7 separate regions of the Mus musculus genome follow, and all the other regions are reported to be linked to region 2. Evidence: microRNA targets listed by miRTarBase, many of them from high-throughput screens and not tested one by one. Region 2 holds a microRNA gene; each other region holds the end of a gene's coding sequence.

The links. Region 2 holds the annotated microRNA mmu-miR-9-5p (UCUUUGGUUAUCUAGCUGUAUGA, at 2,053-2,075, opposite strand). A microRNA usually pairs through its seed, bases 2 to 8, with sites in the 3' UTR of a target mRNA and lowers its output. Matches are read on the target gene's strand: a 7mer-m8 pairs with bases 2 to 8, a 7mer-A1 pairs with bases 2 to 7 and ends in A, and an 8mer does both.
Region 1: miRTarBase lists Nup50 as a target of mmu-miR-9-5p. Seed matches in the 3' UTR shown: 7mer-A1 at 2,251-2,257.
Region 3: miRTarBase lists Senp8 as a target of mmu-miR-9-5p. Seed matches in the 3' UTR shown: 7mer-A1 at 841-847.
Region 4: miRTarBase lists Guk1 as a target of mmu-miR-9-5p. Seed matches in the 3' UTR shown: 7mer-A1 at 3,534-3,540.
Region 5: miRTarBase lists Npc1 as a target of mmu-miR-9-5p. Seed matches in the 3' UTR shown: 7mer-A1 at 1,709-1,715.
Region 6: miRTarBase lists Tbc1d22a as a target of mmu-miR-9-5p. Seed matches in the 3' UTR shown: 8mer at 3,770-3,777.
Region 7: miRTarBase lists Fam76a as a target of mmu-miR-9-5p. Seed matches in the 3' UTR shown: 7mer-A1 at 1,985-1,991.

The regions. Positions count from the first base shown.
Region 1 is chr15:84,939,338-84,943,788 of GRCm38, forward strand. Nup50 (nucleoporin 50) reads left to right here. Exons shown (of 8, transcript NM_016714.2): 8 at 309-3,626. The coding sequence ends at 511. Among named protein-coding and RNA genes, the nearest start is that of Mir1249, 10 kb to the right of the region's middle.
Region 2 is chr3:88,213,237-88,217,687 of GRCm38, reverse strand. It overlaps Mir9-1 (microRNA 9-1), which reads right to left and starts at 2,090; the gene lies at 2,002-2,090. All of the region lies in intron 2 of Gm3764 (predicted gene 3764), which reads right to left. Mir3093 (microRNA 3093) reads right to left here and starts at 2,517; the gene lies at 2,431-2,517. Gm25641 (predicted gene, 25641) reads left to right here and starts at 2,018; the gene lies at 2,018-2,075.
Region 3 is chr9:59,733,245-59,737,695 of GRCm38, reverse strand. Senp8 (SUMO/sentrin specific peptidase 8) reads left to right here. Exons shown (of 2, transcript NM_027838.3): 2 at 1-3,437. The coding sequence ends at 529. Among named protein-coding and RNA genes, the nearest start is that of Senp8, 15 kb to the left of the region's middle.
Region 4 is chr11:59,180,435-59,184,885 of GRCm38, forward strand. It overlaps Guk1 (guanylate kinase 1), which reads right to left. Exons shown (of 8, transcript NM_008193.3): 7 at 4,002-4,087; 8 at 3,421-3,753. The coding sequence ends at 3,718. It overlaps Gjc2 (gap junction protein, gamma 2), which reads right to left and starts at 2,392. Exons shown (of 2, transcript NM_175452.4): 1 at 2,312-2,392.
Region 5 is chr18:12,187,356-12,191,806 of GRCm38, reverse strand. Npc1 (NPC intracellular cholesterol transporter 1) reads left to right here. Exons shown (of 25, transcript NM_008720.2): 24 at 1-123; 25 at 805-2,113. The coding sequence ends at 887. It overlaps Rmc1 (regulator of MON1-CCZ1), which reads right to left. Exons shown (of 20, transcript NM_029623.2): 15 at 3,479-3,598; 16 at 3,170-3,247; 17 at 2,883-2,987; 18 at 2,726-2,794; 19 at 2,422-2,647; 20 at 1,833-2,001. The coding sequence ends at 1,922. Among named protein-coding and RNA genes, the nearest start is that of Rmc1, 21 kb to the right of the region's middle.
Region 6 is chr15:86,496,426-86,500,876 of GRCm38, reverse strand. It overlaps Tbc1d22a (TBC1 domain family, member 22a), which reads right to left. Exons shown (of 13, transcript NM_145476.2): 13 at 2,374-4,064. The coding sequence ends at 3,936. Among named protein-coding and RNA genes, the nearest start is that of Gm34965, 110 kb to the left of the region's middle.
Region 7 is chr4:132,897,354-132,901,804 of GRCm38, reverse strand. It overlaps Fam76a (family with sequence similarity 76, member A), which reads left to right. Exons shown (of 9, transcript NM_145553.2): 9 at 497-2,592. The coding sequence ends at 583. Among named protein-coding and RNA genes, the nearest start is that of Stx12, 15 kb to the right of the region's middle.

The sequences.
Region 1 (4,451 bases), not on the chromosome of region 2:
CCAAACGGTACCAGTACCAGCGAGTCCTCTTTGCATGCAGTTCTGAGGTTGTAAGCGCCTGAAGCTGGAGTGTGTGGAGAAGGGAGGAAGGAAGCACCCCGCCATTGGTGCCTGTCAAGCCCCTGCTCCCCTCAGCCTGCCACACTCCCGAACACAAGAGCGGGAGGCCTTTATGGCGGTACCTTTAGCACAGTAAGAAGTCGCTTCAGGATTGACTCCTAGCCTCTTACGGAATCCTACAGCTTTGATAGATAGTTTCTCTAGTTATTTTTATGTCCTGATGAATATCTCCCTTTGCTTACTCAAAGGCAACATACTGCTGAATGTTCTGATCGCCCCCAACATGCCGTGCACCCGGACAGGAAAGAACAACGTCCTTATCGTCTGTGTCCCCAACCCCCCACTCGATGAGAAGCAGCCCACTCTCCCGGCCACCATGCTGATCCGGGTGAAGACGAGCGAGGATGCCGATGAATTGCACAAGATTTTACTGGAGAAAAAGGATGCCTGAGCACTGAGGCTGACCAAGGCATGTTGCCACGTTGCTGCTTCCCCTCCGTCCCTAACTTAGTCACATTCTTTCCTCTTCTACTGTGACATTCTGAGAACTTCTAGGTAACTTGAACTTTTGTGAGGAAGATTAAGGCCAATAAATCCTTTCAGTGTGTCGAAGCTCTTCTCCCTTCCTAAGAACTAAGCAAAATACATTGGAGTGAAAAGTGTGGGAAGATGGTTTTTAATGTTGATTCATTGAGTAAACTAACCTAAGTGATTCTTAATGGACTATAATCAGGGTACCAGTTAGCTCTCCAAAGGCTCCCTCAGGCAGCAGTGGTGCCGCTCTCTGCCTTCCCCAGGAGACCCAGTGTTCCTGAAGACACCGCCCGTTTCCTTCCTGTGGGCTTGTCTGACCATGACTAGCACTCCTGCCAGACAGCACACCGCCACACTGTGACCGACCGCGCTTGCCCATTCCTTCTGAGCTGACTGGGTACTGGGAATCTGTCGTCAGCCTGTCTCGGCTGGTGCTGGCCTTTGACCTGGAGCTGCTTGACTGAACCAGGAACCGCCTTTCCATGGGAAAGACCATGAGTGGTGGCTCGTGGGGAGCTGGCGGTGGACAGACTGGGTCTGGAGTTTATCCATGAGGTGCTCTTACTAGCTTTCCTCCCTAGTTAGCATGGACGGGGGCTGTCAGGAATAATGGATTTTATTAAAAGCACAAATTTGGTAGTGTTTTTATATCATTTCTATACCACAAATAAGCCTTTATTTTAAAAGAAAAAAGTGAAATCGTGCTGAAAAGGGTTGTGTGCTCATGGCCGTTTGTGCCCTGCTGAGCCCTGGTGGGCACAGTCTGAATGGAGTTCTCTCACGAGCCGTGTGCTCATGAGAAGCAAGAGTATGGGAGTGGAAGACGGCTCATTTGGCCCGTAGCTTCAGACAGCAGCATATTATTTGGCGTCTGAAGAAAACATTTTTATCTTTACTTTTTTAAGGATGAGGTATTATTGAGTATGTCCATTTGGAAGAGAGCCATGGTTCTACACGCTGGTCATGTTACCTCAGAGCGGTGAGGTTGCTAATACTAGTATTCTCTGAAGACCAGACATGGGTTAAATTCGAGATTTGATGACGAGCTGGTCATGGTTCCTGTCTAATCCCGGTGCTGGAAAAGCTGAGGCAGGAAGATCATTTGAGTTCACAGCAGCTTGAGCTACTGTAAGACACCTCCCCCACCCCCAATAAAATCAAATAGAATAGAAAGTTTGACTCTTTAAAAGTCCACTTGCATTTCTCATAAAACCATTTGACACTAGGACCAGATCTTGTCTGAAGGCTCAGGGTCAGTACCCAGGGGCGCACACTTGTGTGATCAGGTTCCGACAAAAGCTGGGTGGCACAGTTGCTTTCTTAAAGCTGCCGTGCTAGGTGGGATGAAACCTGGTTAACTTTTATTTTCACATGGGTCTTAGTCTCACTATGTAACCCTGGCTAGCCTTGAACTCAGATCCACCTGCCTCTGCCTCCTGAGCCCAGAGATGTTCTTGAGGTGGGGTGACAGTGCTCTGTGCATTTTGGCACGTATCTGCAGATGCATGTTTGTGCTTCTTGGGCTGTGGACCTAAGGAGATGCTGTGCGGTTTGGTTTGGTTTTGCCTTGTAGCATGGAGAATTGGTTCCTAGCAAGCAGGTTGCTGCTTCTGTTGGCCCTGGCCCTGGCTTCTTCACATTGGGCTTCCCAGCTTTCCAAAGATGAAACAAGGGGTGTGCATTTCAGAACAGTACTGTGTAGCCACGTGCCTGTGGGGCTGACACGTGTCAAACTCACAGGCACTTTCAGGAACTTGTCTCTTCATGGTGGCAGTGCTCTGTGAGCATCTGCCCATGCCTTGAATATTTACCAAAAGAATAAAAGCAAAAAAGATCATGACTGGACTGCCTTCTAGAGCTCCCCGGCCAATTTCAGTTGTAAATTAGTGAGGGTGGCTTGCTTTTTTTTCTAACATTCCAGCAATTTGCTGCTAAAGACTATCACTTTTGGAAACAAGAATTACAGGGGAGATGTGTGGGGTGTGACTGTAACTCGGTGTCTTGTCTTTATGCTTTAGGAGCTAGCTCATTGCATCTGACCTGAGTATGGGAATCACTATGAAGTCTGAGTGTCACAGGGAGGCCCCCGGAGGGCACTCTGTTCTTCTTCCACTGTGTGTGTAGCTGGTTCCAACCCATGGCTTAAACTTCATTTATGGTTTAACGTGTTAGAAACTTGCATCTTGTCTGTTTAATGTGAACTGAGGTGTGTATCTCCAGTTTGAAAATCTCACGTTGTGTCTTACATTTGCCTGAAGGAAGTGTGTGTTCTCTGTGGTCAGGGTGCATCTGGCAGATGCTAAGCCTGGGCCTTCCCACACTATAGCTCACACTATGACACATTCCCAGCCCTGCCATGTCCTCCTCAGAGAGCCACACTGTACAGGCTGTGTCTGTGTCAGTGACAGGTCCGACTGTTGGTGGGCTGATGCTCTGTTTTACCATTTCAGTTCTGAATCCTGTTTTTTTACATGCTGTGTGCCAAAAACCAAAACAAACCAACAACAACAACAAAAAAAATACCTCCTATGGCATAGAGGGGAATTCACCTTGCTGTCAGGGAAAGCCGTTTCCCTACCTTTTGAACATTACGAAGTCTGTTCTTGCCAGTTTCTTCATTATGTTACTATCTCTGAAGATGAGAAACAGCCCCTTGAGGCTGCAGAGTACCCACTTAGACCACTGGAGTGGGATTTTAAGGAGATGGCCTGCTCTGTCACTTGTAGGTGAGGTTGGGAGTTCTTCAGGGCGTCTTTCTAGCCACATGCTCTGTACACAGCCACCAAGTGCTCTCCAGAAGCAATCACAAGCCTGAGGACTGTCCCTTAACACAGATTTGTAAAAGTGACGTCAGACTTCGTAGCCAGCACATGGAGTGATCCGCCTTCTACTCGGAACGGGAACTTGTTTTCTCCAGCTAAAATACTTGAATTGTCAGGCAGTGTAATCTCAGTGTGTGTTAGCTTTTGAATGAGCCTTTAAGGAAGTGTAACAATCCATGAAATGTGAATAAATGGAAAGTTGAAAAACCAGCGTTGGGTACTGTTCTGTTCTGTGATATTCTTGGCAGATCAGTGGGGAAAGCAGCACACAGTAGTGTGCACAGACGGATCTGAAGTGGGGGCTGACCAGCTGACTGGGATGTAGGGTGAGCAGCTTGAAGCTTGGCCCGGGCCTGCCTGCACTGGATTACAGTCGGCTGCAGAGCCAGAGCCCTGTTCTAGGCAGGCAGTCCTCCAGCCTCAGACAAATTCCAGCTGGGAGAGGTTAGCTTTCTTCTTCAGAAGTAAGTTATTCATACTAGATTCTTGTTCATTCCGTGATGTACTTACTGGAGTTGTGTTCAGATTCTAAAGTTTCCTAAGAGACACTGCATTATCTGAGTTATAAGGTGTTTTCCTGGTTAGGGGAAAAAAGCTAAAAGGCTGTCCCCGGGGTTCCGAACTGTGAGATTCATAAGTTATAGGTGCTTGCTGAAGAGCAAGATTGTCCCTGAGCCATTAGGGAGACAGACTGATCTGGTGTGGACCCCCAGTGTAACCCTGGAGCTTCCAGTGCCAGAGGTTCATAGAAATTAGAGCTGACAGCTTTTGGGGACCCCGCCCTAAGCCCACTCAGGTCAAGGCCAGTCTTTGATACAGTGGTTTTTGTATAATCACACTACTACTAGTCATTGTATGTGAACGGATGACGCGCTGCACAGCTGTGATCAGCCAGCACTGGCTGGCAGACTCCCTCCCTGTAACTCCCAGATAGAGCCATGACTCCATGCCCGTTAGCACATCCTAGGAGGAGATGGCAGTGACCACCAGCATTCCCAGGAACTATGACAACCTCTCATGACCGTGAGGAACCTC
Region 2 (4,451 bases):
CTCTTTTGAAGAGCCTGTGATCCAATGTGCTCATGGGAAACAATAATATAAAACTACTGTGGTTAGCAACTGAGACTCTAAGTGTTCCTGGGAATATGTGGTGTGTGTGTGTGTGTGTGTGTGTGTGTGTGTGTGTGTGTGTGTGTGTGTTTAGGGGGACTCTAGGATGCCCAAGAACTTGCTGTGTAGACAAGGATGACTTTGAATTCTTGATCCTTCGTCCTCTACTTTGCAACTGCTCAGATTATAGGCCTGTGCTATGATAGAGGGCTGTGTAGCCCTGGCTGTCCTGGAATTTACAGTGAAGACACTATACAGGAAACATTAAAGATGGTAATGATAAGGAAGCTTATTTTATTGATGCCCCTCCTCTGCCCATGCAAATTCCCAATAACAGAGAGGCTTCCCTTCTTTCTACTTTCCCAGTTGGCTCCCTTGGGGTGGGGAGTGTCACTTTCTCCAAGACAGAGTAAATGGAAGGAGCTTTGAGTGTCAAGCCAGTGAGTAATGTCAGCTGCTCACTTGTGCCTGTGTAACATGGGATCACATGGCATCTCTCAAGCAGCGGAAAAAGAAAACAGGCTGTGGCCAGACCATTAGTTCCAGCCTAGACCCAGCCTCTTTTCTCCTTGACTTAAGCTTCATCCCCACCACCCCTACCAAAACAAAACAAATTCCAAGCTTCTGGAATTTAAGAGGCCACTCGACTCTCCCTCCCCTAACTGCTAAAGAAGACACACACAGGCAATAGATTCCCTGAAGTCCCAGAATTTGAATTTGGATTCTCTAATATTTCCCCCCATGTAATACAAAATTGAATCATTATCTTCTAACTGTAAAATCAGGTCCCGGGAGGAAATTTTAAATTTATAAGAACCAGCGGAGTCTGGGTGATGACATTTTGCCCAGTTTTCTGCCTCTTATTAGTCGGTACAGCCCAGGTCTCCAAGTGCCAGCTGGTCAAGTTCGGCTGAGGGCCATGAGAGCAGAGGGGATTCCTAGCTCTGGCCATGTTTGTTAGACCATCTTCTCAGCTGTAGAAACCCTCTTTCACTAAAATATTTAGGTCAGGCAAGATAAATAGATTCTTTTTACAGGAGCCCAAATTAATCTCTCTAATTCTTTGCGTTCTCTGGGCAGCACAGCTACACATTCCTTTGTGTTTGAGCTCCACAGAGCTCCTTGAGGCCATTTGTTCCTTTGGGACACGATTTCCAAGAGTGAGGTTAGGACCGAAAGGTGGGATGCTCTAAAGCCCCCCACCCCAACTCTACACCTTTAGCCACTAATGACAAAGCAGCCAGAGAGAGTTCAGTTAGACTTAGCTCTGGTCCTGAAGGCCAAAGTGAAAGCAAAGAACCTGCGCCCCAGGGTCCCAGAATTCCTGTGGGGTAAAAAGGTCTCTGGCCACTCTGGCCCTTGCCCTTGTGGTTACTTTGTTTCTGCATCGCCATTCTCCCTAATAAGTTCGATGTGTGTGTTGGTTTTTAAGCCTTCCCCGCTCCTAGACCTGTTCCCACCTGGGCAATCTTGACTCCCAGTAAAGCTGAAGGGCTTCAGGGAAACCACCAAAGCAAAAACCAGCTTTCTAGAGACATCCTACGAACCTCGAACTCCACCAGTCGCTTCGAAGAGCCAGAGGGAAGCTGCTCACACCAGCCACCCGCTCCCGGGATGCGTCGAGACCGGGAGAGGGATGCTTGCACTTTCCCCCCAACCCTTCAGCCAAGGGCTCTGTCTCTCCCGGGAGCGGCTTCTCCGGACTGAGGCCCAGACTGCTCCATTTTGACCAGGCCTCCAGAGGCGACCCCAGAGCGGCTTCTTGCTTTCTTCCCAGGTGAGCAGGTTGCGGGTGGGGATCGCGAGGTGGCTCGGGCTGAGCAACCTTTGAAGGCGACGAGTCCCCCTCCCCCCAGCCCTCCAGCCTCCAGGCACGCCTGGCACGGCTCTCCCTCCTGCAGCTCGGCCACTACCAGCGTTCCAGGCCCTCTGCGCAGTGTATGGGGTTATTTTTACTTTCGGTTATCTAGCTTTATGAAGACTCCACACCACTCATACAGCTAGATAACCAAAGATAACAACCAACCCCGCCTCCTGGCCGCCTCCTCCTCTTCCACGCAGCCTCCCGGCCACCGCCTGGACCTCCGTAGTCTCGAGTCGCTCGACGGCGGATGGGGGACGCGCGTGGTGTGGAGGCGAAAAGATGGGATCCAGGACCTCACGCACTATCACGACGAGACCTCAGAAAGGCGAGGAAAAGATGCTACCGCCGACGGTTCTGAGGTCGGGAATCTAGGCTGAAACCAAGCGGCCCCAAGCCTGACCGCCCATTTCCCACTCCCTCCTCCGTGCAGAAGCAGGGTTCCGCCGGTGCTAGTGGAAAGGCTCCAGGGCCTTCGTGCCATCCGGGAAGACCGCAGAAGCCTAGGCCGAGGCCTCCCCAACCTCCCACGGTGTCCACACCCTTCTCTGGAAGGTCGAGTGTGAGCTCCGCGGGGTGCGGCAGAGCCGAGCTCGCAGAGCTGCTCCGAGCTACCGACTGCAGGGGAGCGGCCGCGAAGCCCCGGACGGGAACCCCAGCACTGGGGAACCCCGAGGCCCAGAGGGAAGCCTGTGGCTGGCGGCGGGGTGGAGGGTGATCTAGAGACTCCCCAGCGACTCTCCCAAGGGCAAAGACCCCACCCAGAGAGAATCGGGCGAGCAGTCAGGACGTGGGGCTGCGGGTTAGGGCAAAGGGTGACCAGGCAGGTGCTCCGAGCCCTGGACCTACGGAACCGCGCGGGAGCCGGTTTTGTGCAAAACGCAGCCGAAATCATTCAGAGATGTGAAATATGCCACTGGGGGTCTGAGTGAGAGATGCCCTTAGTGGCTGGAGGGGGCTATCTGGACTGAACCCACTGGAAGGAGGTCCAGGGACCGTGCAGAGGGTGTAGAGCTCCGTGGTCGCAGGTGGCGGACGCGCGCGCTGGACTCTGAGGCGCTTTCCCCACCTCGTGCCCCACGCGGGTCAGGCCACTTACATCAAACCCAGGATGCCCAGTGGTAGTGTCCTGCGCGGTCTTCAGGCGCGTTCCTACCCAGGCAGCGCCACGGACGTGGGTCAAGGATGCCGGGGCTTGCCAGGTAATGGGGCCGAGCGAGAGCCAGCAGGGTGGAGCAGGGTCTCGAGTCCCAGCTCTCTCCTCAGCCTTGGCCGCTGCTCTGGCGGGGGCGCTCTCAGGCTCCGGACTTTTCATTCATCCCTTCACACTCCTTCCTCAGGTCAGCCCCTGATTGGCTATACCTGGTCTGACGTCACTGTCTCGTTTCTTCCCCCCCTCCCCCCCAGCCTTTCCATGCCCGACCCCCTCCCTCCCCAGGCCAGTCCAAGACGTGCAATTGGGGTGCCCCTCCCCCAGAGAATGGGATCCAATGTCTTTATGCCAATCCTTAGTCTTTTGCTGCCTCATCTACAACCCGCCTGCCACGTCTATAATCCATTGCCAATTGCGGTTCTGATGGCCACCTTCGCTCTTCTTGTCGATCTTACATTTTCCTTTTGGGCTCTACGGTACATTGCACCAAGACCAGCACGCAAAAATAGAAAATAAATAGGGCAAAATTCCCTCAAAGAGAAGAGATCTGTAATCTCAGCACCAGGAGGTTGAGGCAGGGATGCGGACTGGAGACTCTATCTCTGACCCCCTCCCACCTCACCCCACCGTTAGAGTCTTTTTGAGTTCTAATTCCTCCCAAACTGTGATCCTAATATTTAGGAGAGGCAAGGGTCTCTTTTGTTCAAGGTTTTCAACTCAAACCCTCACTGAAGGGAAGACTGTGCAGTTTGAGTCTCCTGCTATGAGACAATGGGCGAGCAAAGGGGGCCCTCTTTTCTGCATTTCAGGGGAATGTTCCTTGACCCTATCTGCAGATAACCACAGAATCCTAGCTGCTTTTGAGACTCAGAATTTGGCCAAGTCCTGGAGACCTTTAATAGGTCTTTCCCTCTACCCATGTTCCTCCAGGCTCCCAGGCATGCAGTGCCAGCTCTGGGTTCGGTTCCCCAAGGAAGATGCCTTTCAGGCAAAGCTCTGTCCCCGTCCTCAACTTCCTCCACCTGGCTCTCAATCCAGTCCAGCCAGAAAGGTCCTTTTCTCCACCAAAGAAGCAGAAGCAGAAAAGCACCGGGGAGTAGCCAGTTGCTGTTGGGCAACATCTGGGTTCTAGGTACATCGAAATTCTCAGAGCAACCATGGGCCCCAGGAGCTGCTCTGTGTGCCAGTGAGCGGTCCCTTCATCCTCCTACTTATCCTCTGCTGGGTCCCTTCTATAAAACTGGCTGAGATGCCTAAATCCTGCTGGTCAGATTAAACCAGCCAGTTCCTGTAACCAGGGACCCCTAAACACGGAGTCACCAGCAGTCCATTTAGGGGACTATCACTTTAACCATTGGGTCTGTCTATCTGCTAGTC
Region 3 (4,451 bases), not on the chromosome of region 2:
CTGCTCAGACCATGTCTGTTTCATCAGCCCTGAAGTCACCCAGTTCATTAAGTGCACCAGCAGCCCTGCAGAAATTGCCATGTTCCTTGAACCCCTGGATCTTCCCCACAAAAGAGTGGTATTTTTAGCCATCAATGATAATTCTAACCAGGCAGCCGGAGGTACCCACTGGAGTTTGTTGGTTTATCTCCAAGATAAAAATAGCTTCTTTCATTATGATTCCCATAGCAGGAGCAACTCAATCCATGCAAAGCAGGTAGCAGAGAAACTGAAGGCTTTCTTAGGCAGCAAAGGAGACAAACTGGTCTTTGTGGAAGAGAAAGCCCCAGCTCAAGAGAACAGCTATGACTGTGGGATGTACGTGATATGTAACACCGAGGCCTTGTGTCAGAGTCTCTTTAGACGGCAGCCAGAGTCCCCGCTGCAGCTACTCACCCCGACATACATCACAAAGAAGAGAGGAGAATGGAAAGATCTAATTGCCAGACTTGCTAAAAAAAACGAAGTAGCTACTGAAGAATGCTCGTGATGTTTGAAGTCTGGTCTTTCTGCCTTTCTCTATGGTGACAGCCTCAGTGCCTGAGGGAAAACCACTAGTAGATGAAAGTTTACAATTCCTGCTTCTTTATTGTTCTGTAAGAATGTCATCCTCTGTGTTCTCTGAATGGGAAGTTTCACTGTAATCCTGAGGAAAGCGGTACATTCTGTGGAAATGTCTTGAACTTACGTACCAAAACTTTAGTAACAAACCTCTCATTACACAGTTTCAAGTAAGAGCCTTCTTTTCTTGTTGGTATAAAACTATTATCCCTTTTGGTCTCCCTTCCTTGTTGGCTTATTCCAAAGAAGTGATGTTCCAAAGCAAACCAATAACATGAAGTCTAAAGACATGCATGAAGAAAACAGCAGAAGAACCAACATCTTTGTTTCACAGCCATAGTGAGGCGTCCGACTGGAGGTGGATCATTACCTAACTCCACTTATAGCCTTCGGTTTATAAAAATAAGGCATTCTCGGGTGCAAAGGCTTTCCCGTCTGCAAATACTTAATAAAGATGACTTTAGCTCATCTTTATCTATTTCCTGGAATGCTTTAAGAACATGGAACGTCATTAAAATAAATGGCTATAGACTGGGAGCATAACTTTGAGGAAGAGCACCTGCTGTGGTGTGCAGGAAGACTTGAACTCAATTCCAAATTGCAGTAAATAAAAACAAAACAAAACCACCTGCGGGTGTGTGGTGCATCTCTGGTTTCCCTGAGTGAGTGGGTGACTCAGCTCTAAGTGATGGTGACTTTGTCTTGTCCTTTACATGGATTTAGTCCCTCCCTTTACCTAACGTGCTGTAGTTCTCAAGCTCACAGGATAACCAGCCAAGATTAGCTGTTATTTCAGACATGTTCTACTTTTGGTAGATAGAGCTTTTACACTAATCTAGCAGAGTTGTTTTCAGGTATGTTGTGGTAATCTCCATACTATTAATGATCTAAAACATAGGAGCAGTTTATTTTTTAAATATAAAGGAAAAAAAATGTCACCTTCCTCAAACTTAATCCAAAAAGTAAATGGTATAACTTTAAAATATGGAAACAAGACTAAAATGAAATACTACTCCCCACAAAGCTATTGATAAATTTTTCTACTTGTTTCAAGTAATTAACACAAGAAGTTGGGCACACATAATAATTAGACCCCGATAACAATTTGCAGTGTATATGGGATGTAAAACACAAAGATGTGATTCACTCACTGAAACTGACTTCAGCTACTTCTCCACTCTAACCCTGACCCCAGCGTTCATAACCCAAAATAACCTCTCCAGTCAGCAACTACAGAGGTACTCAGTTCCCTGGAGCCAGGAAGAGGAAGATGGTAAAAGTGTAAAAGCACAGGCTGCATAAGCAGGCTTCAGTGTATGGGATCTGAAACAAGTTTAAAAAAGGAAAAAAAAAAAATGGGAGAGAGGGGATTCCATTTCAAGTGAGCCCATTTCAAACCAAAAGACTTAATGAAAGATAGGCAGGAAAATGTTAGAAATTGGCAGTGAGCCATAAATGAAAGAGACAGGACAGGGAGAGCAAGCGTAGGGACACAGGTTCTGATAGGCCACCAGTGGAGATAAAGGCAGCAAGCAGTGTCATTTCAGTGACTGTTTACTTAGGCAGCTGATCTAGACCTTCGGAGAGTCTGCCCTCTCAGGGGAAGGTTATCTTTCGGGTAATACACAGTATGCTTGTTTACTTAAACATCAGCCTGTCTCCCCTTTAATAGCTAATACATGCGAGAGCAGTCTTGTCTAATTCCCTAAGGTTTGTCCCAGAATTATTTTTTAACTAAACTATTGTCTTTATTTAAAAACATAAAAATATACAATCTTTTTCCAAATACATAACATGTTTGTAATCAAACTTTAAGTTAGTCTTTTGTTGAGTAGGCTTTGTGAGACAGCTCAGAGGATTAACACACTTACCACCAACCCTGATTTGACCCCCAGGTCCTACTTAGTAAGATGAGAGAATTGGATTGGCTCCTTGTAAGTTGTCCTGTCTCCCAATGTACACCTTGGCATACTTGTAACTACTCACAATATATATAAATAAGTGTAAGAGAATCTTGAGTAGATAATTTGAAAATCTTGACTTTGTAAATAACAGATTTTGAGCTTACACGTAGTATTTCACTAGATACTAGGATAGTCCATAAGGTATATACCTGCTTAACCATACACCATTAATGTAATACTCATAATACTATACTAATAATATAAATACATTGATAATAATATTAATATATTTTATTTCAAATATCCAATTGTGCTGCCCCACAAGTATATTTGAATATGTCTAACCTGGGTCTCAATATGGAATTGAGAAGTTACATATATAAACCCAACATTAGCTGGGAGTAATATATATGTGTATTCTCTACCTCAGGGCTATACCTTCAGCCCTATTTTTTATTTTTTGACTTTGTGGGTTTGGTTTGGTTTGGGTTATTTTGTTGGTGGTGGTGGTGGTTTTTTGTTTTTGTTGCTGTTGTTGTTGTTTTATTTTGTTGAAAAAGGGTTTCTCTGTGTAGCCCTGGAACTCAGGTCATGGACCATTCTGTGTTGTGCAGTTAAATACTTTAGATACCCTTAAAAATATATGTCCATGTGTTGCTATAATTTAAAGTACTAGATAACATTATAAAGGTTTTATGCATTTATAGCCATTTTTATTGTTGGTTTTTTTCAATGGTAGAGGAATTGAGACAGTCTCTCATGGCCCAGGCTGGCCTACAACTTGATATGTAGTCACTTCTGATCCTCAGACCTCCAGCTCTGGAGGAATAAGATTACAGGTATATGCCACCACTCCTGGCTAATTTCATTTATTCTTATATTTTTCCAAGTGGTCTTATTCCTATTTTATAATAAATAAATGCAATGTCAATTGTGTGGTCTCTGTCTCCTCATATCCTTCGCATCTCTTCCTTCCTTGATCCCAGAAAGCAATGCTGAATAGTCCTTGCTTGAACATTTTCTAGTGCAGTCTTGCTTTCCTTTCTGAATTGAACATGTTCTGTTGGCTCACTGCAGAAAGCAGCAATAACTGCCGTGTAACTGTTAACAGCAGAACCTGAAGAGTCACTGGCTTTGTTTTATACATTAGGTCATCTTTGGACCAACTCCTGATGTCAATGTACTGATCTAATGTTCTGGAAAAAGCCCTACAGTGCACTTCCTATTTTAAATGGCCTTTCATATTCTTACATATGAAAGATGGAGAATAAAACAAGAGCAGACATCTGGATAAGCTATTAAAAATGGGAGGGGGGCTTTAGGAATATGTCAAAAAATCAGTACTAAGCAAAGATAAAGCAATTCTCCACAACATAAGGAAAACTAGCCCCCAAGTTCCAACATGAGACTGAGTTTCCTCTAAGGAAAATGAAGTGTTAAATGTACTTAGAGTGTTCTTGCGGCTAGAGAGATGGCTCAGTGGTTGAAAGCGCTTACTCTTCTTGCAGAGACCCAGGTTTGATACCCAGCATCCTCATACGTGGTGGCTCACAGCCAGTGGTAACTCCAGTTCCAAGGATTTGACACTCTGAATTCTGCTGGCACCAGGCATACGTGAGGTACACATAAATATATAAAGACAAAATATTTGTATAAGTCAAATAAAAACGTTCTTGAGCAAGAGACAACACGTGTCTGTGTGTCAAAGGACATGGCAGCTGTCTTCAGCGCCCAAAATAGGGGTACATTTTTATGCTAGAAAACAAAATTACTCTTAAGTCCTGCAGTTTGCATTAAAAGACAAGAGAAGGGCAGCTCTCTTCTCTTCACATACCAGTACCTGGTAGTCCCTGTGTACGGCAGCCCTTTCCCCGCTGGGCAAGCTCAGACAAGATTTCTGAAGCAGTTCTGACCCAGGCTCTTCTCTCCCTGCCAGCTCACACTGCT
Region 4 (4,451 bases), not on the chromosome of region 2:
TCTGACACCATCTCAAGCTAGGGACTCTAGAATGCATTTGTGTTTAGCATGGTAGAGGCGGACCCGGACTCTCACAGAGGTCATTTACAGATACACCGTGGAAACCTGTGGTGTGTGTATGATCTCTGGCTGTGTCCTCTGAAAGGCCCTGGCTGTGGAAACACGTGAGAAGTGCGAGCATTTGTGACATGGGTATGTTCACGCTGCCTGTAGTTCTAGTGCTTGGGAGACAGAGATAGGGAGATTGGAATTTCAAGGTCATCCTCTGCTGCACGGCGAGTCTGATGTCATTGAGACCCTTTCTCAAGCCCCGCTCACAAAACAAAGACCCTATCTAGGTCCTGGGTTCTGGTTTCCAACTTCTCTTTCAATAAAAGGAACTGCGAATCCCTGGGGGAAGTGGCTGATCAGAAGGCTAAGGAGGGAAACAAGAGTGTGGAGAAAGCTCAGAGAGGAAGAACGTGCTTACATACTCACACACACTGATAGGTGGATTGCTTACACTGACACTGTAACAATTTAACCAGTAGACTAAGGAAAGTAGAATCACAGACTGCAGCTTTGGTTACAGATACCCCAGATAACAACTGCACCCATGAATAACCAGGCTGATGACTGGAGAACCATCCCATCTCTGTGCAGAGGAACTCTGAGATGGGACACACAGTTAAGAGGAGCACACACCCACTCCAGCAGCCACATGTGGGAAGCAACATATCAGAGGACAGCATGAAATGGGGACTTGTACCTTTGCCGTGACACCTGAGCCCTATGATTCACCATTATGGCTGTTGATAGCACCTATATAGACAGGCTCATCACCCCCATAGTATTCTTTCTGAAACCCATAACCCCAACAAAGCAAGAGAAAACACAGGCCAGTTTCCAAGAGGGCACCCTGAAAAATACCCGAGTAGTATTTTAGTAGCCATGGGCAGCTAAAACAAGGAGACTAAGAGGTGCTGTGGTATCAGGAGGGGCAAGGGAATGTAGGAAACACACAGACTGCGGCTTTTCACTAACAGAGGCAGCACTAGAGTTTATTATGGTGATGTGTTTCATGCCAGTATGGAATGGGAAATGAGGTCCTCTGGGATCTTTTCTGTACTGTTATCTCCTCTGTTGTAAATTTAAACATGTTGAAGATGTAGGACTCTACCACAGAGTTATGGCACCCAGCAGAAACTACCAACCTCCCGCTTTGACCTGTGAGGCCTTCTTCACCAGCACCCAAGTCACATTCCTGGAAGTTCAAGAAGGCAAAACTTCAACTTCAGACTGTGGGGACCAGAAAAACAGATGGGCTAGCCTGCACCTACCTGGTGTAAGAGTCACAACCCTAAGTCTAGACAACTCCTACAGGTTGAGACTTCAGCTAAACTGCATTCCAAAAACGGAGGCACTAGCCTGAGTAGGCAACCCCCTCCCACTCTCCATGCCTTCCTTTGGCATTGCCCAGAGTACACACGTGTGCCCAATTCCTTGTAGAAAGCCCATACTCACCCTGGTCCTTGTCTCTCCAGTCCTGCCAGCCCCTCCACAGCTGAGCCAGGTTCCCCTCCCCATTTCTAGAAATCACTTCCCAGCTGGGTCCACACTGTCCCATACAGAGCCAACTCCAGCCAGCAGGCCCTCCAAAACGGATCTTCTCCAACCTCCCCGTCCTTGGACCCTGTATCTCCCCTTTTGGCTGCCCATCCTCATATCTCCCTCTCTGCAGTCCCTAGACACAGAAGGTAGGTGGGAAGGAAGCACTTAGAGTGAACTGCTGTGGCATCCCAAAGACTTCTGTGCTGGCTACCGCGCCACACTAACACAGCAGCGGTTGTGTAGGTCCAGCTGCTGAGAGGGTCTGCTTGGTAGCAGGCAAGTGGATAATGAAGTTTCTTCAGTTTGAGTAGACTGGGCCTGGTGCCCATACTGATCCCTGGGACACACTACAACTGGCTGGGGTGGACTGGCCCATCTTAAGATGGCCTGAAGGGTCTCAGCTGCTGGGGGAGGTACTGAAAATACCCTAGGCTCTCCGGTTTGTTCCCATCTCCCTCTACCATGGGTTTAGTTACCCCAAAAGAGCCACAAAGCCAGCTGAAGCCAAGCTAAAGGACACCCTGAGGGTCCCTTAATACAGCAAGACAAGATCTGGCCAGAGACTCAGTGAGTCTTCCAGGGTGGCATCTGGCACCAGCTGTGACACACCCCACAGAGCCTGAGAGGGGATGCAGGAACCTGGGAACCTCCACCTTAGCAGTAAGGAGTACAGACCAGTCAAGGCCCAGCCAGGCTGCAGCCCCAGCAGTACCCTCCCTACCTTCTCCAGGCTGGAAATGCAAACCTTCGGCTGAGCCCCTCCACCTGCCGGCTGGATGCTGATCCTCTCTAAGGGCATACTGTGGGGCTAGGGCCACCTCTCGCCACCAAGCACAATGGGGGATGGAGGAGGGGCCCTCAAGGGCTCCATTGTTCCCCCTAGGGTCTGAATCCATGATTGTCCCTGGGGGTGGAGCAGCAGGGATCTAGACAGGCCTGCTGGTCTCCCCAGCCTCCACTTGAAGTCCAGGCAGTTCTGGCTCACCCTTCTAGAGAAACATCTGCAGTTTTGGAGGCAGCCCAGGACTTCCCAGTCTCTCTGGCTACTTCTGCCTGGGTACCTGCCTGCCCTCTTCACACCCACATCCAGTTAATACCCCCAAGTCTGCCCCAGGAGCAGCCTCACCTGGAGATGCACAAGGCAGAGCTGTGGCTGACCACCGGGTGGGGGTAGCTGGCAACAACCACTGCCCTCCCTGCTGGGATTGCTCTCTTGGGCGGAGCCAGCAGCCTGGGCTGGGAGCCCAGAGGAAGAGGGAGGACAGCAGGACCAGACACTCAGAATGTCTCATCGTGGACAGGAGGGGAGGGACATCTCCCTCAGGAATGCTGCACCCTGCTACAACCTCTAGAGCTCAAAATTTGCGATCTTTACAGAAGGCCCAGGACTCTGCCTGCCTGCAGCCCTCACAGGGCTCACCTGCCCTTCCTTGGGTTGGCTGCCTATACCCAAGGCCAAGAACACACAGCACCCACAGCTCCAGGGCCAGCATTATGACCTTAGCTCTTCCCCTGCAGCTGGGCACTTTTGTTCCTGGCAAGTGGTATCTGTCCCTCTGAGTCCCCAAATGGCTCAGAAATACCTCAAAGAGACAGCAGCACTAGGTTGTCTAGGGCTGAGACGATTCCAGCCCATACTGATTGTCCCAGTTGCCTGACTCCCAGGGGAAGAAGTGAACACGAGCAACCCTAGCCAGCATTCTGATGACTAGTGGACCCTGGATGCGGGCAGGGACAAGGGCCACTAGACACCTATGCAGAGCCCCCTTAGCAGCCTTCATCTGGGCTGACCATGGAGGGGCAGAAAGCCAGAGGCCATAAGCCCAGTATGGAGGGCTGTGACACTATAATTCAGTAATTACTTTATTAAGAGGTCAGTCCCGCTCCAGCAGAAGGAACAAGGAAAGGAACACAAATAGTCCAGGGAGATTAGATATGGGTACTCTTTGGAGTCATTCAGCCAGTGAGTCAGCCCACGGTGCAGAGCCACCTTGTGGTCAGACAAAGGGTAGCTCCTTCTACTCCACAGTGGAAGTCTACTACAAGTCCTTGGTGCCCTGGCAAAGTTTCCCCCACCTCCAGGCAAATTTAGACCACAGACATCACTCTGTGGAATGAAGCAGGCCTTCAGGCGTGGCCAGTTCCCTGTGCTTTCTTGATTTCCTGCCAAGGAAGAAGGGAAACAGAAAGTCAGGAGAGGCAGGGAACCAGGGAGGGCTAGGGCTCATATCCTCCCTGGGTTCCCAGGGACTCCGGCTTTGCACCTGTACTTGACCATTCTGGCAACTGGCAAAGCCAGGGCTGCTTACAACACAGCAGGGTGTGAGCCCCGGCAACACAGGGTTTGCTGCGTTCACAGGATGGCTTGTGCAGGGGACTTCCCCAAGACAGGGTAGATGGGAAGGGCCTACCTCAGAGAGCGCCTGCTTCAGGGTTGCATAGGCTTTATCCAGGTCGTCATTGATGATCACCAGGTCAAACAAGCCAGGCTCCTTGCCTGGGGTGAGGCAAGAGACAGATTCAGGAACACTGGGACTTCGGCCCCTGCTGGGCTTGCCCCACTGTTAACAACCTGCTATCTGGCTATGGCTACTGTTGCCGTCACTGTGGTAGGATGGCCAGGGCTGGACAGTACTCTTGCTTCCCCTCTTCTAGAGAACCTCAGCTGGGGGCTGCTCCCATCAAGTCCTGACTTCTGGAGTGTGGACCACTGCCCCTGCCCAGGCCTCTCAGAACCAGCTCTGCCTGGGATGGACTGCCACATAAGGAAACAGCAAACGGTCTCAATGACAGTGTCTGAATGTGGACCAAGCTCAGACCCAGAAGCAAGAGCATAGCTACAAAAAGAGACCTACAACACT
Region 5 (4,451 bases), not on the chromosome of region 2:
TGGTGTTAGCCTTTGCCAAATCTCAAATTTTTGAGATATTTTACTTCAGGATGTACTTAGCCATGGTCTTACTCGGAGCCACTCATGGACTAATATTTCTTCCCGTCTTACTCAGTTACATAGGTAAGAGCATTTCGTTCTTCTCACGGGCGTGGGAGGAACGACATTTACTTAACAGGGCATGGTGTCACAAGCCTGAAATCCCAGGGAGTGGAAGCAGGATGGATCCAAAGTTCAAGGTCATTAACAGTGAGTTTAACCTAAGCTAAAAGACCCTGGCTCAAAGAAAAATTTAAACTTGGACTTTCTAAAGTATTTGAGTTTGTACTGACAGCTAGCTCATACTGCATTAAAACCATAGAAGGAAACAGTAAAACCTCCCCCAGGGCGTCTCGGTTGGCCAGGGCATTTCCTTAGGCATCCTGGAGGCCAGGGCTCACTCCACCTCATACAGTGACGCCCAGTTGAAAAGGTAACAGGATGAGTCTGCCTCACAGCTTTGTTACTAAGTCACTGGAGAGACAGCTCATCGGTTAAGAAAGACACTAGCTGCTCTTCCAGAGGACCCAAGTTCAGTCCCCAGCACCCCCATGGCAGCTCACAACTATAACTCCAGTCAGGGAATCTGACAGCCTCTTCTGGCCTCTGGAGCGCTGCATAGATGCTGTACCATGCAGCATCTTCTGGCTAGGCATGCATGCAGACAAAACACCCACACACAAAAATAAAATAGAAAAAAGCAACAAGAGCATGGCTGGTTTCCATGCCTAGGAGGTTACTTACGCCTTCTCTTGTCTCACACAGGGCCGTCGGTGAATAAAGCTAAAAGACACACCACTTACGAGCGCTACAGAGGGACAGAGAGAGAACGGCTCCTCAATTTTTAGCCTTGTAGCAGGCTTTGGTGACTGTGTTTATGGATAGGTCAAGTTTACTGCAAGACAGCTGCGCTGTCAAGACTGAGCTGGCTTCAGGCTGTGTCCGAGCTGTGTCACATGCAGCTCTACCCACGCTTTTAAACTCAGGAATGCACACCTAACTTGTGAAGCAGTATTAATGGATCTGAAAGCAACAATCGCCAGCCCCTACTGTCGTACCAGTAGAAACCTCATCTTGGGTACAAGGAAGGATAGTTCTGTCACTTTAACTTGTTTCAATGCCTACTTTTAATGGAGGTTATTAAACACTTTAACCTCCCTTCTAGCCCACCACCAACCAGAGATAGTGGGAAAGAAAGGATACAGGGGAAGTGGACCTGTTTAGAAATGGTTCTTTGGAGCAGATCCTGTCTGCATTATCAGGAAACCAGCAATTCAGTTCACGGGTCAGCAGTGGCAGCTCGACCCACTCGCAAACACTTCACGGATACACCAGCAGTGTTGGGATAGGAGCAGCCAGGCCTCAGCAGGAGGGACCAGGGCCGACAGGAACACCAGAGGTTCTTGGCTGTTCCTCTATCAGCGAAGACTGGAGACCAACAAACATTACACAGCTAGCTCTATATTCTCTCTGTGGAGTCCCAACACATGGAGCTCAACTACACAATATAAGGCAGACCAACCAATACATGCCTGTCATTCACGTGTCCTTTCATGTGCTTGCTTTAGGGAAACAGTCCTTCACAAGTCTGCCTTTCACCTGTGTCTGCTTCAGCAAAATGTTCTTTCACATTTGCCCCAGCAAAACCCCATCTAACACAACTGACTTTCCAAAGAACCCTTAAGTTTCCATTTCCCAGTGGCAATAACTGTGACCTGATCCCTACCCCACATGCTGTCTCCTTTTCTTTGGGAGTTAGCAACATTTGAGGATGTTGTAGGTACTTTATTACATTTTTTTGTAGTTTAAAGAGCTTTATTAATGCAATAAATTAACTTTGTACATTTTTATATTAAAAAAAAAAAAAGACTATTAAGGGACTTCAGAATGTTGTAGGCCTCATTAGAGCTTGTTCTCCAAAAACCTGCTTGAAAAAGGCAACGTGTTCTTCACAGTGCTCTCCTGTAAGGACAACGCGGCTCAGTCAGCAGCTGGTTATGGCCCGGGAAGACAGGATGCAGACAACGCTCATGGGTTTTAACTTATTTTTCTTTAATAAAATACCTCCTCCTCCATTTTGAGGTCTTTTATTGCAGAGCTCACACCTTCAGCAGCCAGAGCATCCCTGACCTGTCTGTCACTCATACCGTCTGTGCTGTGTGTGTATACACAGCATAGGCTCATTCTCTCGAGTCCTGTCTTATCACTACTTGCTTAAAACTGAAGCATTCAAAGCCCAAGCCATTTCAAATGCTTCTCCACCATGTGCACTCCTGTTCTGATTCTATAGAGAGATCCCAAAGTCAGATATAAGCTATGCCCTTCAGCCCTGAACTTGATGAAAGCTGCCATTGTCTGTGGCCACCCTGGGCATTCCCTTACCTGGTGTGAAGTTAGGGTTCCCTCGCAGGCGCTGGTTCCGCTGTTCAAAGAAGCGGAATATGGTATAGAAGAGCATGACATCGTCGGTCTGCCTCGCAGCATCTAAGAATTTGCGAGCAGAAATGTTGTCATGGCCACCAATGCCCCGGATGAACCTCAGGGCAGCCAACACCTGGTGTTTAGACAGAAGAACTTCTACTATCTCATCATTTGCTGTTGAAAGTCTCTGGAAGTAAGAAGGAGAGGTAAGGGCAACCACGGGAAGGAATGCTGGGGATACCTGAAGCCGTGGCAGGGCAGTTACCTTCAACATGTCCAGAGATAGCTGGTGGGCGGGAGGATAAAAGCTCTCTAGGGACAGCAGCAAGCAAGCCTGAAAGACAGGGTTTCCGCTAGCTTCAGTTTGAAGGGTCCCACTGGAAGGTTTAGTGACTACAAAATGGGCATCCAGTGGTACAGACCAAAGGCTTGGAGTCGCTGAGCACGTGGTACTGCAGGAACTGGTGCAGCATGTAGAAGAGGTTATGCTGGACCAGTGTCTTGATGACAAGTTCATGTAAGTAGTGCTGGGGACACAGGAGGAAGTAAATTATATCGCTGAGTCACTGGACCATGGCTGGCCACACCCGTTCCCACTGAGAACCAAATGTCATGGTTAAGGCACCTGGGGTCTGCAGATTCTTTAGCCATCTCTTCTGATCTCATTCCTCTCTCTAACTTAAGATGGCAAATACCCCTCTGAAAGTACCTGCACTGGAATCTGAAACTGGTTCAGAGAACGAATATATTCCATCAGCACAGCTATCACAAACTTGTGCGGCATCTCCTAGGGAGGAAGAAGGGGGTCTTGTAATGTCAGTTGCAAAAGGAGCTACAGGCAGCCCACTGATCCCCAGTAAAGTCCAGTGTTCTGGCTACTGGTGTTAGACAAATCCTTATGAACTAGACGCCAACCACACAGCCCCAGATCCTCTCCCAGGGCAATACCGCTCACTTAACCATAGTGTGGATCCTGTTGCTCCCCACAGTAGCCCACGCAGGGACCCCACTTACATACCTTGTTTTCCACGAATGGTGACAGCACCTGTGTGTACACATCAGACTGGTCTACCACTGCTTGGGTTCGCACTGGCCTTTTGAGAGGTGGGTTGCTCCGGCTCTGCCCTGCTTCTACTGCCTAAAGTGGAACAACTTGTGACCTTGGTCATCTTCCACAGACATGGTACTCACTACAGTTAACCCAAGACTTAAATTTCTAGACACAAGCCAGACACGTGACAAGCGAGACAAAACTCTTCCCATGGCAGACCTGTGCTCTGGCAAACACTCCAGGGTTTGTGGGAGACCTCAAGTAAATAACCAAGCCAGTCACGCTCTTTCCAACCTCTGAAGACGTATAACTGACCTCAGCTTTTCTCACTCTTGACCAGCTGCACTGTCGTTCATGAAGCTACCAGACAGTAAAGGAGCGCAGCGTGCACTGGATCCATGTTGGCATTTTAAAATTCATTTTTGTAGCCTTTGAAATGGATCCAGGGCCTCACCAATCTCTACATTCCGACCATCAAGTCACAGCCTCTGGTCAGTGTAATGGGAATTATTTGACAGTAAGCCAGAGTTCCCCAAAGATGACAGAGCTGTGAGCTACACCAGCTGTGTGATCTCTAAAGAGCAGGCACAGCTTCAGTGCGGACAGCCTGACCATGACATCAGTCTGACAAAGCCCAGGGTCTGCCACTGGGCTCAAACCCGCTGACTCCACAGCCCAGGACACCACCAGAAGGACCAAGAGGAGGAAGGAGACAGAACAAGGACAGAGGTGATGTAAGCAGCCTGGCCTTCAGTGGCCCATCAGACTAACTTCAAAGAGCCAAGCAAAGTGGGTTCTCAGCTTGTTTAAAACGATGTCCACTGTTGCTAAGCATATCCTTGAAGTAATTTCTCCCACTGATCCCAAGTTTATTTCTCGCTTTAGAAAAACAGAAATGCTAAGTTCTGAAACTAGTAAGCCACAGTAATTTTCCATCCCT
Region 6 (4,451 bases), not on the chromosome of region 2:
ACAGGCATCTTTTGGTGTAGCCACACCTTCATCAATCCTTTTATCAATACTTTAGCTTTTAGGACAACAGATTTCCTACTTTCTTGTTATCTTTACTGCTGTCTTATGATGGACTTTGCTTTATTGCAACCATTGTAAATGGGGTAGTTCTCTTGAGTCCTGCCTCTGAGTTTGCTGCTGTCATAGCAAATGCTAGGACTTTAATTTGTTCACTAGTTGTAATTTCTCTCTTTTAGTAGAACCATGCCAACAGCAAACAGGAATGGGTTAATATCTTCTTTCTGACTCCTTTTTAAATTCTCTTCCTTATCACTTTGTCCAGGAAGGACTTCCAGTATTAGGCTGAGTACTTCCAGTGCTGTACTGAGTACCTCCAGTGCTGTACTGAGTTCCTCCAGTGGTGAGAACAGGCAGCCTTCCTTGTTTCATTCCAGGCCTTAAAAAGGGCTTCCGCTTTCTACTGTAAATTGTTGGGTGTGGGCTTCTTACACAGGGTCTTCACTCTGCAGAGGTGTAGTCCTCTATACTGTAAATAATTCCTCTATACTCAGTTTGCATACTTTTTTGTTTTTTGTTTCAAGACATGGCTCTGTGTAGCCCTGGCTGTCCTGGAACTCACAATATAGACCAGGTTGGTCTTGAACTCATAGAGATCCCACCTGCCTCTGTCCCCCGTCCCCGCTGGGATTAAAGGTGTGCATCTAGCTTGGATAATGTTTTGAATTATGAAAGACTATTGAATTTTCCAGCTGCTCTTCCTGCATGTAAAACATGATCACGTGGCTTTTTCATTCTGTTAATTAGGCATACCATATTTACTTAAGTTGAACCATCTTTGCACATGGAAAACAAATCCTACTTTGCCCTCATGGACTGTACTTCCATGTGTCGTGAATTCATGGAATTGTTAAGGATTTTCCTGAGTCCTTTGTCTTTTCCTTGTCCTTTCCTTGGCTTTTCTTCTAGGACCCAGTCCTTGTCTGGTTTTGGTACCAAGGAGACTGAATACTGGCCTGGTAAGTGGAGTTTGGAAGTGGTCCCTCCCCTTTGGGTTTTTTGAAGGGATGTGGTGTTAGCTCTTGAAATTCTCGGCAGAATCCAGCAGTAAACCACCTGGTCCCACATTTTTCCTCTGATGGGAGATGTTAAGCAATCTCAATCTGTCAGCGAAATGGACCTGAAGGGTCATTCATCTGTGTGCCTCCAAAGCTACCTGTTAAGCATCTTCCATGCCAGGGACTGAAGAGAGGGTCTGGAAGGACTCCAAGTGACATGGGGCAGATGTGTGTGGCTCAGCCCTGCTAGCTGAAGGTCATACCAGAGGAAAGAATGCCTGAGGTGAGAGAGGAGCAGGCCAATGCACAGAGAGAAGGGTAGGGAGGCTCCAGGAGGGGCCTGAATTCAGGCTTTCTGTTCCCACACTCTTGGATAGGGCATGCCCAGGACAACACATACCTGGAGGCCGTCTGGCTGCACTTGAGTTAGGGCCTATCTTCTTGCAGCTCATCTCCGTGCTCCCACATAGACTTGCATGAGTGCTCCCACATGAGCAAGTCATCCCAGGAAACCCTCCCCTCTCCAACACAGCTGGCCTCGCCATAGTGACTGCCCCATGGTGTCACTTCAGGCATTTCGCAACAGTAGAGCTAAGTAGGTAGGTTCTGTCTTGTGAATTCGGTGTCCTGGCTACCACCCAGGATAGGAGCTTGTCCAGGAACCCTGGGCCCCAGGAGCCCATCCCAGGCAGGGAAGTACTCAATTAAGGAAATGACAGCACGTGGCAGGTGTTCAACCAGGGTCATGACTCTTACACTGGGACCGAAGGTAGGGTGACATGCCCTGGGTTCCTGGGGGTATGGCAGAGGGGCCCAGATCCCAGCGCCAACTCAGTTTATGCTTTTTACAAAGGAAACTTGGAGTTGTCTCTTGTCCAGAGGCTGGCAGAAAGTTTGGAGGCCCTGACACTTATTCTTCTGGCTCCTGACAATACCAAGTCTGGACTTCAGAGGGTCAGAGCCAGGAAAGTGGCATGCCCGTGCCATGGGCACGTACTCTTCCTCTCCTGAGGTCCCAACCTTGTCAGCAAGGCCACAGCACTGCTGTGATCAAGACTAGGCCTAGAGCACAAGGCTCAGTGTTGGGACAGGGCCTAAGCCTTGAAGAGAAAGTGAGTCAAGACCATAGGGCTAACAAGGTGGATGGCTCAGTGTGTGTAGGAGCTTGCCACCAAGCCTAACATCTTGTGTTTGATCTCTGATACCTACATGATAGATGAGAATAGGCTTCGGCAAGTTGTATTCTCACTGCCACATTTGGACCATGGCACAGGTACCCCAGCCCCCATCATCAAATAAATGCAATAAAAAGACCACAGGCCATATGAAGCATCTTTATTTCGTGTTTCCAACACATCACATTCAAAGCACACATCCTGCCCGGCTCAGCTCATGGGCTCAGACACAGGACTGTCGCCAGCGTCTCGTACACCCAGTCAAGCATTTGCACACATAAAAATACATTCAGGGCTTAAGTTAACCTCATGGGTCCTTGTCATCTCATAAAAACACCATGGGGCAGATCGTTATGGGCCTACCCTTCTGGCTGAGGGGTGATCCGCACCATGGAAGGATCAGGGAAGATGGTGCTTCTCCAGAGCCACAGAGGTAGCTTTCCTTATAACTGGGTGCCTCTCACCCAGGACAGGCACTGGTCTGAGGGAGCATGTCCCTCTGCTGATCCAGGACATCGGATTGCCTGCACAGCACTCTGCTGATGTCACATCCCACCTGACCCAGGATCATCTGAACAGAAGCAGGCACACGTCTTCCCTATGTCTTCCCCACAGCCTCTGGGCAGAGTCCTAGTGCCTGGGCAGTGTTGCGCTGCTCCTAAAGAAGGGACAGGTCAGAGTGGGCTGCAGTGGGTAACTGAGGACAGGAGGCTGCTCTAGGAGTCTAGGCTCTTGTCCTACAGGTGGCCTGGTGGTCCTTGGGGATCCCACATCACAGAGGCCAGGCAGCCTGGTGGGGGCATCTGTGGGATATACATGTGAGAAGCCAGTCTGAGGGCCCTGGAGAAGGCCAGCAACGGGGCAAAGGCTCTAACCCAGTGGCTCTGGAAAGGGCAGTAGGGCATGAAGAGAGGCCAGCCCAGCAGCTCCTGGCTATTGCCATCTGGGTGGTGTTAGGAAGAAGCCCCCTACACATGGCTGGGACTTTAGAACCACTAATTTCTGCCCTGTTGCGGTCAAGTTTGGGCCCATGAGACAATCTCTGGAACCCTGACTGACAAAAACCCCTGCCCACCTGGGGGTTCCTTGACCCTTTTCCTCACCCGGACAGGGAACCAGTTAATTAAAAACAGAAAGTAAGGTGACCGTGAGAAGCCTCAGCCTGCCCTGGCCTCCTCTTGTTCCACAGTCTCCCAGGATCTAACTCCTGACCTAGCCCTGTTTAAACCAAGTCAACCTAAACATGGGGCCATTAAAGGCTCTGTGTGCAGAACTCCTAGCTCAGCCTAAGTCATGCTCGGCATTGTTTTCTGGACTTTATTCTTTCACTTGACAGAATAGATTTGTGCAATTGAGAGCAGGCTTGAGATGGCTGCCCACCTCTGCCTGGCACCCGTACGTACAGCAGGGCTCTCTGAGGGACTTCCTCTTGGCTGTCTGGACTGGGGGCTGTAGGGAGGGCATTTGGCAAGGCAGGGCCAGGGTGAGGGCACTCCTGGCCACACTGAGCTTCTGAAGCTAGGAGTCTCTCCTGGGCTCTCTTTGGTATCTCATCAAACTAGGCTGCCTATCCTGCCAGCCCTGGACCATGCTGGGTCCACTCTGCTAGGTCACACCAGGAAAGGACCAGTCCAGAGGCCAGCAACTGCCCAGGCAGAGAGGGGATGCTATCCCTAGGGTGAGGCCACTGCCATGGGCCCCAGGCTCACTTCTTGTAGTGATTGGGGGCGTCTGCGAAGGCAAACTTGAGGCGATAGGCCTCAGCCAGCAGCAGGCTGACATCCTGGTCATCCCAGCGGGCAGTAGGCAGGTTCTGGAGGAAGAGCAGCAACTCCTGTGGGGAGAGACAGATGGTTAGGGAGAGACCGGGCTGCAGGCCAGGTCCCAAATGCACACACCTGGGAGACCTACATCAGCAGCAGGGGGAAGGCATGGGCAGTGCCCTCAGCCGCTGCAGCCCCTCCTACTTGCTCGGCTCCAACCCCACTCAGCCAGATGCCAGCTTTTACAGGGTCTCATCTGCCATCCAGCTCAGTATCTGAGGAGCCACACAGTGGTCTTCCCCACGCTTCAGTTGGGACCCCTGTATCTAAACCCTCTAACCCTCCATGGAGATAGTATCAGTTGTCCCCACAGTCAGGAAGGATCCATGGGCCAGGCTACAGGAGATTTCTGAGAGCCAAAAGCCTCTCTGAGACCAGAGATGACACATGGCTTCCTT
Region 7 (4,451 bases), not on the chromosome of region 2:
GTGTCTGCATTATAGATTTGCCTGTCCCACTCACCAAAGCTTGCGGTGGGCTTTGTTGCGTACATCTTCTTTCTGTAACAGTAGTCACCAAGAGGTCAGGGCTCACCATGCACCTCTGTCAGGTCCTTTTTAACTCCGTGTCAAGTCCCAGAATTTCCTGTTCTCTTCCTAGGACCACTTCCTGCCTCTTGAGTTCCCTCTTTCTACCTGCACAGACAGCTGGCTGGCTGGCTTTCTTTCTTTCTTTTATTGTTTATTTGTTTGTTTGTTTAAGACACAGTTTCTCTGTGTACCCTGGCTGTCCTAGAACTCAAGACTAAGCTAGTTTCAGACAAGATCCGCCTGCCTCTGCCTCCCAAGTGCTGGGATTAAAGGTGTGCACCACCCCCACCCAGTTACCGTTGTTACTATGACTCATTAAACCTATTCTGCATTAAAACCACATTCTATGCTGTGGAAACTGAGTGTGTACTGACTTTATTTTTATTATTTTTAGGCCAAAAACCGAGAGCTTCTGAAACAGGCAGCTGCCTTGTCCAAGAGCAAGAAGTCTGAGAAGTCAGGCACCATAACGTCTCCGTGAAGACGTGAGGAGGCTCCCAGCACCAAGCCCGTGCTCCCGGGTCAGGGCTGCTGAGCTGGCTGGTCTCTGGGAAGTGTGCTTCCTACAAAATCTCTATATTTTCTTACCTTACCCTCTTTGTTCGGATGCAGTGGGCTGAAAGGAACTCCTGGTCTGTGCCCTGTTATGGCTGCATGCTGAGCGGTTAGGGTCCCAGACCTCCTCCTTTCCTCCTCCCACTCCCCGCCCCCGTGGCCCCCCCCTCTCTGTTTTAGTACTCTGTTTTCCATAGTGGTCACTGCTCAGTGTCACGTGCAGAGTGTCTGTCCACCATCACACCTGCCATCCCCGTGAGCAAGCAGTCTGTCGTCAGCTGTACATCACTGCCGCTCCCAACCTCGAAAACTGCCACCTGGAGACTCTGTGCAGTGAGGGAGGCTTTTTCTCACCAATAAACCTTTTGCTTCAGGGTATACTCTTGGGTTTTTTCCAGGTATATTATGTATGACCTTTGTACAATGTATAGACAGAGTTTTATTTATTTTTTAAAAAGGAAACCTTTTCTTGATAAAGGAATGATGGTAGCCTAGCTAGTTCTTGTAAAAGTGATGCCTCTTTGAAAAAAGAAAAAAAAACAAAAAACAAACCCAGTCCCGTTTGCTAGCTTTTAGTAGAAGAACGCAACCTTTTCTTTCTCATTGCCTTAGAGTCTTGATGCTGAGGTAATGTTGGAGGCGTACGTGTGGAGCTAAGTGCCTTTTGGAGGACCCCATGGAAGAGCGTGTGAGGAGAGGCTTAAGGACGGTTGCTGAGTATGGCCAGTCTGTCTTTAAGTAGGGCAGAAAGATGCTTGTCCAGGTTGTACTGGACACTTCCTCCTCTACCCACCCCTCCTCCTCCTTCTACATAATTTTAAATTCCCACACTGCCACTTCTTTTTTAAAAGTATTCCTGTTTCTTGCTACATCAGCTGTCGTACCACGTTGTTATCACAACCTGGATCTTTGGTTTTGTTTTTTAACTTGAGCAGATTCAAGCGGGATAAGACGTGAACTACTGAGCATTTCCGAGGGTTGGCATGGGTTGCTTGGGTGTGGGCTGCACGGTGGGGAGGACCTCACTGTTCCTTCCTTTCTCTCCCTCATCCCGCGTGCTCCCTGTTCTTAATGGAAAGTCAGAAAGCACGCGCTTCTGGGAGCCGAAGGGTGTGCCCTTATCCCTGTCTGACTCAGTAGTTGTGGGAAGGAGCTGCGCCCCTCCATCTTTGGGAAAGGAACTAGAGATGGGGAGTATGTGCTGGGACACAGAGCAAACCCTGCAGTGAGTGCCAGCGGTGCTGGAGCTAGAGCGGATCCTGAAGGCAGTGACATTGGGACAGTCAGGGTCACTGTTCACCTGCTCTGTAGTCTGGGATTACGTTCTCCAAAGAGTCACATGCACACAGGTGAGCAGCGGTCCGCACTCGAGTGGCTCTTCCCGACAGGAGATTCGAAGGACTGTGTTTTTGTAACACTGGTCGGGAGTGCAATTTTCCCTTCTAAGCAGGGAAAGCTGCTGTGCTAAATCATTTTGTAACTTTCCGAATGAGAGACTTCGGTAAAGATAAACTCGTTCAGTATTTTTCAAATGCATTTGCATTGGCTGTGGGGAAAAGATGGTAGGAAAAGAATAACAGTCATGGTTTCGTCAATGAAAAGTAAGACTGAGAAATTGTTGGTGTGGTGTGACAATATACAAAGGCTTACTTAGTTTTATACTAAACCTTTTTTAAGGTCTTAGCATTTAATATTCAGCAAATCCACACATTTTCTAAACTACCACAAGCTCCTGAAAGATAGAGGAACCTCAGTCCTGAAATGGTGATTTTTTTTTTAAATCATGACAGCATTTTACCATGTAATTGAGTAACTTTTGGTAACACCTTCTGCTTCTTTGTATGTTTGTAATAATGGACATTTTAAAACATAGGAATGTTTGCTTTGTACAGACTTTGACAAATGTGTGTTAATAAAACTTCATACTGACTCAGATGCATGTTGTGATTCAGTTGCTGGGTTGCTTCCCCCCTCCTCTCCCTCCCTGCCTCCCCGTCTTCTTTTCCTCTGTGCTGGGGTGGAACCCAGGCCCTTACGAGGTCAGCAAATTGAACTGCTGAGCTGCCCCTGGCCCACGTGTTTGTTCTTGTTGATTCTCCTAGTGATATATCCTCCTGTGTCCTGCCACCCTAAAAATAGTTTAGCCTGTTTTAGATTACTAGGGAATTGAATAGTAACAGAGGGATCTAGTTGCTGTTCCTATAAGACAAATGACCCCAAAATTTAATGACTTAAAACAACAATTTTATATGTCACTTGACCCTGTTGGATAATCTCAACAGGACAAGGACAAGAGTTGTTTTTTTTTTTCTTTTTTTTTTTTTTTAGATTTATTTATTGGTTATATGTAAGTACACTGTAGCTGTCTTCAGACACTCCAGAAGAGGGAGTCAGATCTCGTTATGGATGGTTGTGAGCCACCATGTGGTTGGTGGGATTTGAACTCCGGACCTTCGGAAGAGCAGTCAGGTGCTCTTACTCACTGAGCCATCTCACCAGCCCCAAGAGTTGGTTTGTAAGCCGGGTGTGGTAGCACAAGCCTTTAATCCCAGCACTTGGGAGGCAGAGGCAGGTGGATTTCTGAGTTTGAAGCCAGCCTGGTCTACAGATTGAATTCCAGGACAGCCAGGGCTACACAGAGAAACCCTGTCTCGGGGGGAAAAAAAAAAAAGAGTTGGTTTCTGTTTCGTCTCTAGTTGTGAGCTGTATCAGATGAATCAGCCAGGAAGATTGAAAGTTCACAGGGCTGGGGTTGGCCCTCTGCTCGTGTAGCTGCACTTGCGCTGGGTGAAGAGAAAGTGGAACAGAGCTGGCTCAGGTAGCCTTCCCCGGGCATGGGGACCTCAAGTTAAGCAGACTTAGGCCGCACCTGAAGACGCCAAGCAGCAGTGTTACAGCCAATGAGACCCGAGCTCTGTCCATCCCACCGACACTCCTGAGGCCACATGTCCTCATGGCTGCTGTACACCTGTTGTTTAAGCAGTTAGAAACCCACTCAGACTCAAGGAGAGGACACGGATCGTGCCCCTTGATAGCTTAATGACAAAGTCCATGTGTGATGGGAGCCATTCTGACCATCATGAAGTAGGATCTACTACATGAGATCGCTTCGGGAACTAAAACTAAAAGGTCCAAAAGAGCAAGGCAGCAGCTGCAGTGTGTTCTGTGTCGTGCCTCAGGACAAGACCGTTTCCTAGTTCCTCCAATATCCTATTGATTGCAGAGGCAAAATTACCACTGCTATTCAGCACGTGTTCCCAGGAGCAAGAATCACAGGTTGAGGCTGGAGGGATGTTCAGTGGTTAAGAGCACTAGCTATTCTTCCAGAGGACCCAGGTTTAGTTCCCGACACCCGTGTGGTAGTTCATGGTTAGCTGTTAGTCTAGTTCCAGGGGAATCTGACCACCTCATCTGGCCTCTGAGGGCACTTAGGCATGCATGTGGTGCAGAAATATACATGGAAGCAAAATAGCCATGCACAAAATGAAATAATTCAAAACAAAACAAAACTGAATCCTGCTCTTTTGGAGGACCTGGTCTCAGTTCCCAGTTGCAGTATTTAGCCAAGTGTCTGAAACAGCAGTTGTGGGTGATCTGACACCCTCTTCTGACTTCTGCAGGCTTCTGTCCATACATGTATACATATGTACACACACATAATATTAATATCAGCTGGCTCCCACACTGATCTTGGCTTGTAGGGTTAAGTTCTAAAGTTGGTTAGCATTTTTCAGAAGTAGCTCATATACGTCTTTTTTTTTTTTTTAAGATTTTATTTATTTATTATATGTAAG